Ovis aries: one gene and its partner. The protein of the gene in region 2 purifies or fractionates together with the protein of the main gene of each other region. This does not show direct contact. Links are inferred from orthologs where the notes say so. Each region holds a gene or a part of one and is shown on either strand. Other genes may lie near its edges. The genes, in order: MAPK3 and PTPN5.

Region 1 (4,382 bases), on a different chromosome or scaffold from region 2:
CTCTCTTCCTCATCTGTAAAGGGGAAAAAAAATCCTTTTTAGAGAGTGGTGGTAAAGATTAGTTGAGAGATGACCCAGGCAGTGCAGCCAGCTTGGTGCCTGGCACGTTGTAAATGTTCGGCAAATGTGAACTAGTATTGCTGTTATAAAAGACTGAGCCACATGGCTGTTGAGAAGGTTAAATGAGATTATGTATGAACACCATCTGGCAGGCAATAAATGTTTGCTTAAAAATAAATGCCTGCCTTATGGGGATGGTTTGTGCAAGACGAATGAGGAGAAACTTCCCAGCGGCACGCTCCTACTCCGGGGGCTTGGCCCTACACCCGAAGACAGAGGAGTAAATGTCCTTTTATACTCTAAGATAAAAAAAGAATTAAACATAAACAAACAAATAAACGTCATGTGGGTTGTTTCTGGAAGACTCAGTTATGGCTGTCTTTCAGAGTCAGCCTCAAAAGGGCCTTCCGAGAACACCTGGACCAACCCTGCTATTTTAAAGATGAAGAGGCCCGGCATGCTGCAGTGACTTGGTTAAGGTCACACGACAAGCTGAGGGTGAGTGTGGAAGTTTCCTGCCCACAGTTTGTGGTGGGGGCTGCAAACAGTGCAGTACAGATCACCACTCTTGGGGGAAGGACTGGGATGGTGGGGGTGGGTGGGGTAGGGGAGAGGTGATGAGTGTAAAAGCTCCTAACAGAGCCAGGCAGGAAGTGGACCCACAAACTAGGAAAGCAATGTGTGTGTGTGGGTCGGGGGGGCCACAAAGGCAGGTCTGTTCCTCCCTGGGCAAGGTACGAGTCCACAGGTGACTGGGGTGGGACTCTGAGCAGGAAGTCCCAGAGAGGGGACAGGTTCTTGTCTGGGGGAGGGGAAGAGGCAGCCACAGAAGCACTTGATTTTATTTCAGTTTTCTGAGCCTCAGTTTCCTCATCTTTGAAATGGAGCTGCTGAGACCCATCTCCTAGGGCAGTTGGGAGTTAGAATAGGAAATGTCAAAGCACTCGGCTTGAGCTGCACCAGACTCACAGTAGGCCCTCAAAACAGGGCAGTGTTCTTCCCGCCTGCCTTCCTGCCAGTCTGAGGACCCAGAGAAACAAGAACTGCCATCAGTTAAACAGAAGAGCTGACTGTGGGCAGAGGCTGGATCTCCTCACAGAATTGCCGATGTCAGAGGACAAAGCTTCCACAGGGCTCATCTTGCCCAGCCCCCTACGAAGCCAAGATCGAGAGAACAGACTTGCCCAAGGCCACACTGCCTGGCCGCAGCAGGCCAGGATTCATCTGAGGCCTCTCTGCCTTCTTACACTGTGGCCTCTTGACCGCTGGAAAGTTTCCTTTACTGGGTTTGTTTGGAGGGAGGTTGGGAAGAAGGGAAGAGAAAACAAGCCCCTGTTCTCCCAGCCCGGCTCTGAGGCTGGGCCTGGCCAGCCGTCTGGCCCAGGTGAAGGATACACATCCCTCATGGCTTCCAGGGTGGGTGCTCGCAGAATGTCTCGGATGCCAATGACATTCTCATGGCGGAAGCGCAGCAGAATCTGAATCTCTCGCAACGTGCGCTGGCAGTAGGTCTGATGCTCAAAGGGGCTGATCTTCTTGATGGCCACTCGAGTCTTGCGCACGTGGTCGTAAGCTGAGCTGAGAGGGCCAGAGAGATGTTGGTGTCCAGGCCCGGTGGCCCCACCCAGGCCTTGGCAGGGCGGGGAGGGAGCAGGAGAGGGCTCTGGCCAGTCATAAACAATGCTAGTTCCTTCCTGCTGTGAAGGCCTGGGATCTCCAGGGAGAAAGCTGGGGACCAGCCAGCCAGCCCTTCGGTGACTTCACAAACAGAGGAAGAGACTGACCGCTCACTGACTTCCCCTCTCCTCAACCCTTTCCATTCGAGCTGCCCTGACCCCTCATCCTCCCCTTCCCACGATGGGCTCTCTCAAGCCAAGACGGGTCCAGGGGGTGGGAGATGTGGAGGACTGGACAATGAGGCAAATACAGTGAGAAGGAGGGAGTCGGAGGAGGGACTGGAGAGAAGGGAGAGGCAGGGCCGGGGCGGGTGTCAGGGGGAGGTTCCTGGGCAGCAGAGCTATGTCCAGCTGAACAAAGGCCCAGAGCACCCAGTGCGGATAGGAGAACTCACAGACCCCTCCTAAAAGTTGCAGGAAGGTGTTCCTGGACCCCTCATGGCTCACTGGGTCCCTGGCCCCAGGCCCAAAGCCCCACCCCACCCCACCCAGCCCTGAGCTTTGCTCTTTTTTCCCAAACTCCTTGGCAAGCCTCACTGGGGGGTGATCCAAGACATCCTCTCCCCAGTGAGGGGACCCTCTCTCCTTCTTCACTAAGGATATCACCTCCCCAAGAAGACTAATTCTCTTCTCCTCACCCCGTGATTATGGGGTCCCCAAGGTCCCCAGAGCTCCCCCACATACACTCTGATGCCCTACCCTTCATTATTGAATAGTCAGTTCAAAGCTCCCAAACCTCCTCTCCTGAGACCTTACGCAGTGACCCCCTCCCCCAGAAAGCACTCAAAGGCCCTCCGCCTGGGACGCTCCCCAGCCTCCTGAAGCCCCGGCTTCTTCAGGATGCTCAGAGTCCGCAAGGCCCAGAGAGCTCTCAGCACCCCTCTCCGCCCCCTCCCCAGAGACGCCCCCTCCCCCAGAACGCCCCTCACCTGACCATGCCGTACGCGCCCTCGCCGATGTACTGCAGCTGCGTGTAGCGCGGGCCCACGTCGAACGGCTGCCCCTTTACTATCTCCACCTCCCCCGGGACCCCCGGGCCGACCCCATCAGTTCCCCGGGGCTCCCCGCCCCCGCCCCCCTGAGCCGCCGCCGCCGCCGCCATCTCCACTCCTCCCCTCCCGCCCGCCCGCCTCCCCCCGGCGGCCCCGCCCGAGGCCCCGCCCCTTCCCGCCCGCCCTCTCACCCGCGGAGCCGCGCGCGCCAGGCCCCGCCCCCGTCCGCCCCCGCGGCGTCACGTGACTCTCCCCGCCGCGCGCGCGCCGTTTTCCCGCTGCTGGGGCTGTGGTCCCTGGCACCTGTCGGCCTCGTCTGCTCCAGTCAACGTAGAAGCTCCCCAGGGCAGTCTCGAGACTGTCCAGACCCTCCCCCCCCACCCCCGCCACCGAATGCTGACCGGTAGGGCGGCCCGGTGACCTCACCCAGAGCCACCTAGCAAATGAGTGCTGGAGCTGGGACCCAGACCGGGCCACGTGGCCCCGCTGTGCCCACTCGGCCCGAGGAGTAGCCCGGGGCTCGAGGTGGAACCTCCTGGAGCCAGGCCCGATGCCGAGTGATATGATGCTTATTTCATAGTAGCCGTGACAGGTGGCTTCCTCACACATGGGGCCTCTTTCACAGATGTGGAAACTGAAGGTGACTGGGCAAGGTAACTTGATTGCTGGAAAGCCCAGGCATCTTGACTCCCTGCCTAATGGTTTTCGAATGGAGACCTGTCAAAGTGGGCTAGGGACCGGACCTCAGCAACCTGGCAGTGCCTGTATCCTGAGGACAGATAATCCCAGCCTACCTTTACATGGAGGCATAGGGAAGAGGTGAGGGCTGCGTGGACTGGGTTTGGTGAAAAATACACTCTCAGGCTTTACTCAGAAACAGCAGGATAGCTAACATTTTTGTTGTCCTTGGATTTGACAAAAATTGGAACCGAGATCATCATCTTTTGCTCCTGTGCTAGACTTCATAGTTTACACAGCATTTGGTCCACTTTAATTTCTTCATTAGAACCACCCCACAGTGTAGGTGTCATCTGGTTTTCTGAGCTGGATGAGCAGAGGGCCATGTCTGTCTTGTTCATTGCTGTAGCCCCCACCCACCCCCATCCCTACAGTCAAATGTAGACACTCAAAAATTTTGGAATAGGTGAATCAAAGTTTTACAGAATGGGAAATCTGAGAGTTGAGGAGCTGAGACTAACATGTATCTTCTGACACACAGGCAGAAGTTCTTTTTAATTGCATTCTGTCTCCCAGACTGTTAAACTGAAGAGACCATCCAATCCATCTCCACTTCACAGTGAAGATGTGAGCTGGGAGCTTCACAAAACACATCTCCTAGGCTTCAGGAAGTAATCACGTTGTTTTTGTCTTCCTTGGAAGCTGGGAGTATGTCCTTGTATGCACTAAAGATCAAGAGACAAAATGGAACAGAAATTATGATTCTGAAATTGCTCATAATTAGATCTATGGTCAGGCATTCTAATTCAGATTAGTAACACTGAGAGTTGCTAGTTCCCAGGAACCCACAAGTCAGTGAAGGTTCAAGATGTGCTAATTAGATCAATGGGTTTTTTTGTTGGTGGTGTTATTCATTTGATAAGCTATTGACTGGCACTGTGTGCAAAGCTCTGAGCTAGGAACTAGGGCTGATAAA
Region 2 (3,798 bases):
TGGGTCAACAGTCCTGCCCTGGCCTCCCTCTTGCCCTGGGGTGACCCACCCCTGTCAGCAAGGGCAGGACAGCTACATTTGCTGCATCCCTGGGGGCTGGGGTAAGAATAGAGTGGGAGTGTCTGGAAGGCACAGGATCTTGGTCTAGGGGCAGATTCTCCAGGTTCCTTGGGCGGGACTGCTCTCAGCCCAGGCCTTGCAAGGCAAATTGCTGGGCTGCAGCTGCTGTTGGGACCTGCAGGGCAAATAAGTGGGCTGGCCAACAGGGAGGGGCCTGTATAGTCTGAAGGTCCCCCTGCTCTGACCTTGGCATCTCTGGCCCCTGTGTCGAAACTGGTGGCCTGCCAGCCACTTTTCCTTCTATGAAAGCCTCCAACATCTGTCCCTGTGGCTTTGCAGGGCCCCTGGCTTCTGGCTGGGTGCGAGGGTGCAGGTATATGAGAATTATGCTCAGTGGACTTTGGAATTTCAAATCTGGATTCACGCTATCTCCCAAGCTACACAAGGGGGCACTAGGGATCTCAAAGGCCTGTGTGTGGGTGTGTCTTTGTGCGCATGCGCATCTGTACTAGTAGGAGGGGCAAGAAGATGGGGGTACAGGGAGGCAGGAAGTAGAGGGAAGAGGCAATCACACAGACCCAGGAAGCTAGTTTTGCTCAAAATGCTCCATTTATTGCTCTATTCAATGACCATGAGCAAATTATAAAAAGACACCAAATGTCTCTGTCTGCCATGGAATAAATATTCAAAGTCACCAATAAAAACACGTGGCTCCAAGATAACACATGTTGCCAAAGAGTCATGCACGCCCTGCTGACGGGCTCTCAACACACGCATGAACACAGGACACACGCAGAGCTACACACGGCAAGACTTCTGGGAGGGGTCTCCCAAAGCGACACAGAAAAGTGCTTCACACGGATCTGGGGCCGAGTTCCCACCCTACCCTCAGAGCTTCCCATCTCCCACTGGCCCAGGCCCCCTGGGTTCATTCTCCCCTATGTGTCCCCTTTCTCACCATTGCCCCACAGGCTAGTCACTGCCTGCTGAGGGCGTGTGATACCTGGGGGTCCCCCTGGATGCGATCCTCCTCCCCCACCCCCATCCAGAGACCTCTCCCCAGCTGCGATCTTTCTGCCAACCCCTCAGGGCTTTCCTGTGCCTGACTTCTGGGGTCTTCAGGCCCTTCCTTCCCATCCTGGTTCCAGGAACTAGGGGCAAAGTGCAACCTGTCTGCTGGGAGAAGCGGGGCTGGGGGCCTGAGGCAGGCACCCGTGCCAGGGCCCCTGAGGGGCTGGAGCTCACAACCCCTCTCCCGGGCTGAGGAGACACAGTGTTCGGTACAGACAGCAGAGACGATGGACAGACAGAACACGCTGCGGCAGGACACGTGGAGTTGCGGCAGGGAAACGTTTTGGATCAAGTAGCAGTGGAACCATCGTTAAAAACTGAGGCCCCAGGTCACGTGGTTTGGGTCAGGCCCTGGGGCCCCAGGCCTGGCCTGGCACACCCCTCCCCCACCCTCCCCACTCCCCAGTATGTACAGTAGGAAGAGCTATGTTGAGGGGGCAGGGGTCCGGCCGAGGCAGCGGGGGAGGGGGAGCAAACTGAAGAGAGGAAGCGGGAGGGACGGGGAGCAGGCCGGGACCTGAGGCAGGGCCCTGGGTGTGGCTGCGAGGAGGGCCCCAACTCAGGCTGGGAGGTACCAGAGGACCTCGGGGAGGCGTGTGGTCACTCCGGGGACTGGCGGGACAGCTGCTTCTCGTAGAGGCTCATGACATGGTGCACGAACTGGTACTGCTCGCACGTCTGGATCATACCGCCCCTACCCGACAGATGAAGGGGCCGGGTCATGGAAGAACGGCTGCGGAGCCGCCCCCAGACCCACAGAGTGCCAGTCCTCTGGGAGGCACATCAGGGCCTCTGTGCAGCTTAGAGAGGTCAGCCTTGGCCAGCCAGCCACTTCCACCTGCCCTTCCTGTCCCTCCTGGCTCTGGCATAGACAGCGGGGACAGAGGTGGCATGATCCTCCACTCTCAGCCTCTGCGCCTGTGTCCACCAGCTCTGTCCCTCTCCCCTCTGCATCCCAGCTACCAACTGCCTGGATCTGGCTTCTCCACCCATCTGTCCACAGGTCGGTCCCGGTGGGGTGTGTCCCCCAACCTTCACCCTATGCACACAGGTCAGGCTCTCTCTGTTGCCCTCTCCCCCGCTCCCCAGCTCCCCATGGGTCCCACCCTCAGCTGACCTGTCCTGACGGAGCTGGCATGTGGTCTTCAGGATGTCCACCACGCCCTCGTGCCGCAGCTGCTGGCAGCAGATGCTGGTGGCGATGAAGCAGCCAGTCCTCCCAATCCCTGCGCTGAGGGCCCAGGGCACGGGGGTGAGGGGTGGGGCCGCCGGGGAGCCCCGCCACGCCCCAGTGGGTGTCTGGGAGGACCCACCTGCAGTGCACCACGATGGGGGCGCAGCGGGGCCCCTCCTGCTGGGCCGCCTCCTCCACCTCCCGCACCAGGTGCAGGAGTGGGGGCGCGCGGTCTGGGGTCTTCTGGTCGGGCCAGGACGTGAACCAGTAATGCTTCAGGCCTCGCTCTTCTGTCCCGCTCTGTCCAGGAGACAGAGGCCCACCCCAGATACACGTGAACTGAGCCCAGCCACCAGCCCAGAGATAGAGATGGGAAGGGAGAAGGAAGCACAGGAGGGAGGCCACAGGGAGTGGGACCTCGGACCTCTGCCATCTACCCCGTACAGCCCAGAGGCAGCAGCCAGAGACCCGAGGCCAGCTGGGCAGTGGGGACTGGTGAGCAGCGTCAGCACTGGTCTTCACATGGGTTTTGCCCCAGTGACTCCAGGATCTTCCAAGAGAGGTGAAGAGCCCCTTCTCCATTTCACTCCTGTCTCCTGGTTGCCCCTTCACAGATAGCCCAGTCACCCCCACAAGAGCCCTGGGACCCTTCCTGTTGCCTCAATATACTTTCCTGCCCACCAGTACCCCTGGTCCCCCCCAGCCAGTGTTCCAGTGCTATCCTCTCCACCACCACCTTCACTTTGTTCTCTCGACTGTGTGGGGCCCTCCCCTCCTCCTCTCTGATCGCTCAGATCCACAGTGGTCCAGAAGGCCTGTCTACAGCCCATCCTGTTCTACCGCTCAGAACGCTCTGATAGCTCTTGTTGCTCTAAAACTCAAACACACCCTCCCTACTCTTCATTCGGGCAAACAAGACACATGGTACAGCGTCTACCTCTCCAAGCCCAAGTCCTCCTGTGAACCTGTACTTGATGCCTTTGCACTCCAGATGGTTTGTTGATCAAATCTCTGCTTCCCCCATTCCCTGTACATTTATACACAGAGCTGTTCTATCTTCTGTGCCCTTACTTTTAGTTTCCCTTTGTCTGGAATGCTCTCTCTACATGTCTGCCCCCCAGCCAACTCTTATCCTTCGGAACCCCATTCAGCACCACCACTTCCAGGAAGCCCTCCCTGAGCACCCTAGCTGACAACATGTCCTTCTTCTGTGCTTTTACTTATTTGTAGGTCAGTACTTACCATTTTATAGGTGCTCCTTGAGGAGAGAGTCCAGGCTTTGGACAGCTCTGTGTTTTCCCAGTACCCAACCCAGAACCAGGCTCAGGGCAGGTGCTTGTAAAGGTTACGGACAAAAGTAAATGCCCAGTGGTCCCTGACCAGTCCCACAGCACTTAGAAGATGTGGCAGCCCAGCCTCTCTTTCAGGGGAAAAAGGAAGCTGCTCCATGGGCTACCACAGCCTCTATCCTCCACCTCTGAAATGCCCTCGAG

Evidence for each region.
Region 1: the proteins of PTPN5 (region 2) and MAPK3 purify together in Homo sapiens (affinity purification with mass spectrometry; 4 studies listed by BioGRID and IntAct, with this or other methods). This does not show direct contact. The link is inferred for Ovis aries from reciprocal best matches to the Homo sapiens genes PTPN5 and MAPK3.

What each region holds. Positions count from the first base shown.
Region 1 is NC_056077.1:26,691,702-26,696,083, reverse strand, and holds the start of MAPK3 (mitogen-activated protein kinase 3), read right to left. Parts: upstream 2,861-4,382; 5' UTR 2,839-2,860; coding exon 2,666-2,838; intron 1,639-2,665; coding exon 1,456-1,638; intron 1-1,455.
Region 2 is NC_056074.1:23,575,841-23,579,638, reverse strand, and holds the end of PTPN5 (tyrosine-protein phosphatase non-receptor type 5), read right to left. Parts: intron 2,606-3,798; coding exon 2,445-2,605; intron 2,363-2,444; coding exon 2,249-2,362; intron 1,826-2,248; coding exon 1,732-1,825; 3' UTR 648-1,731; downstream 1-647. UniProt on the Homo sapiens protein: May regulate the activity of several effector molecules involved in synaptic plasticity and neuronal cell survival, including MAPKs, Src family kinases and NMDA receptors.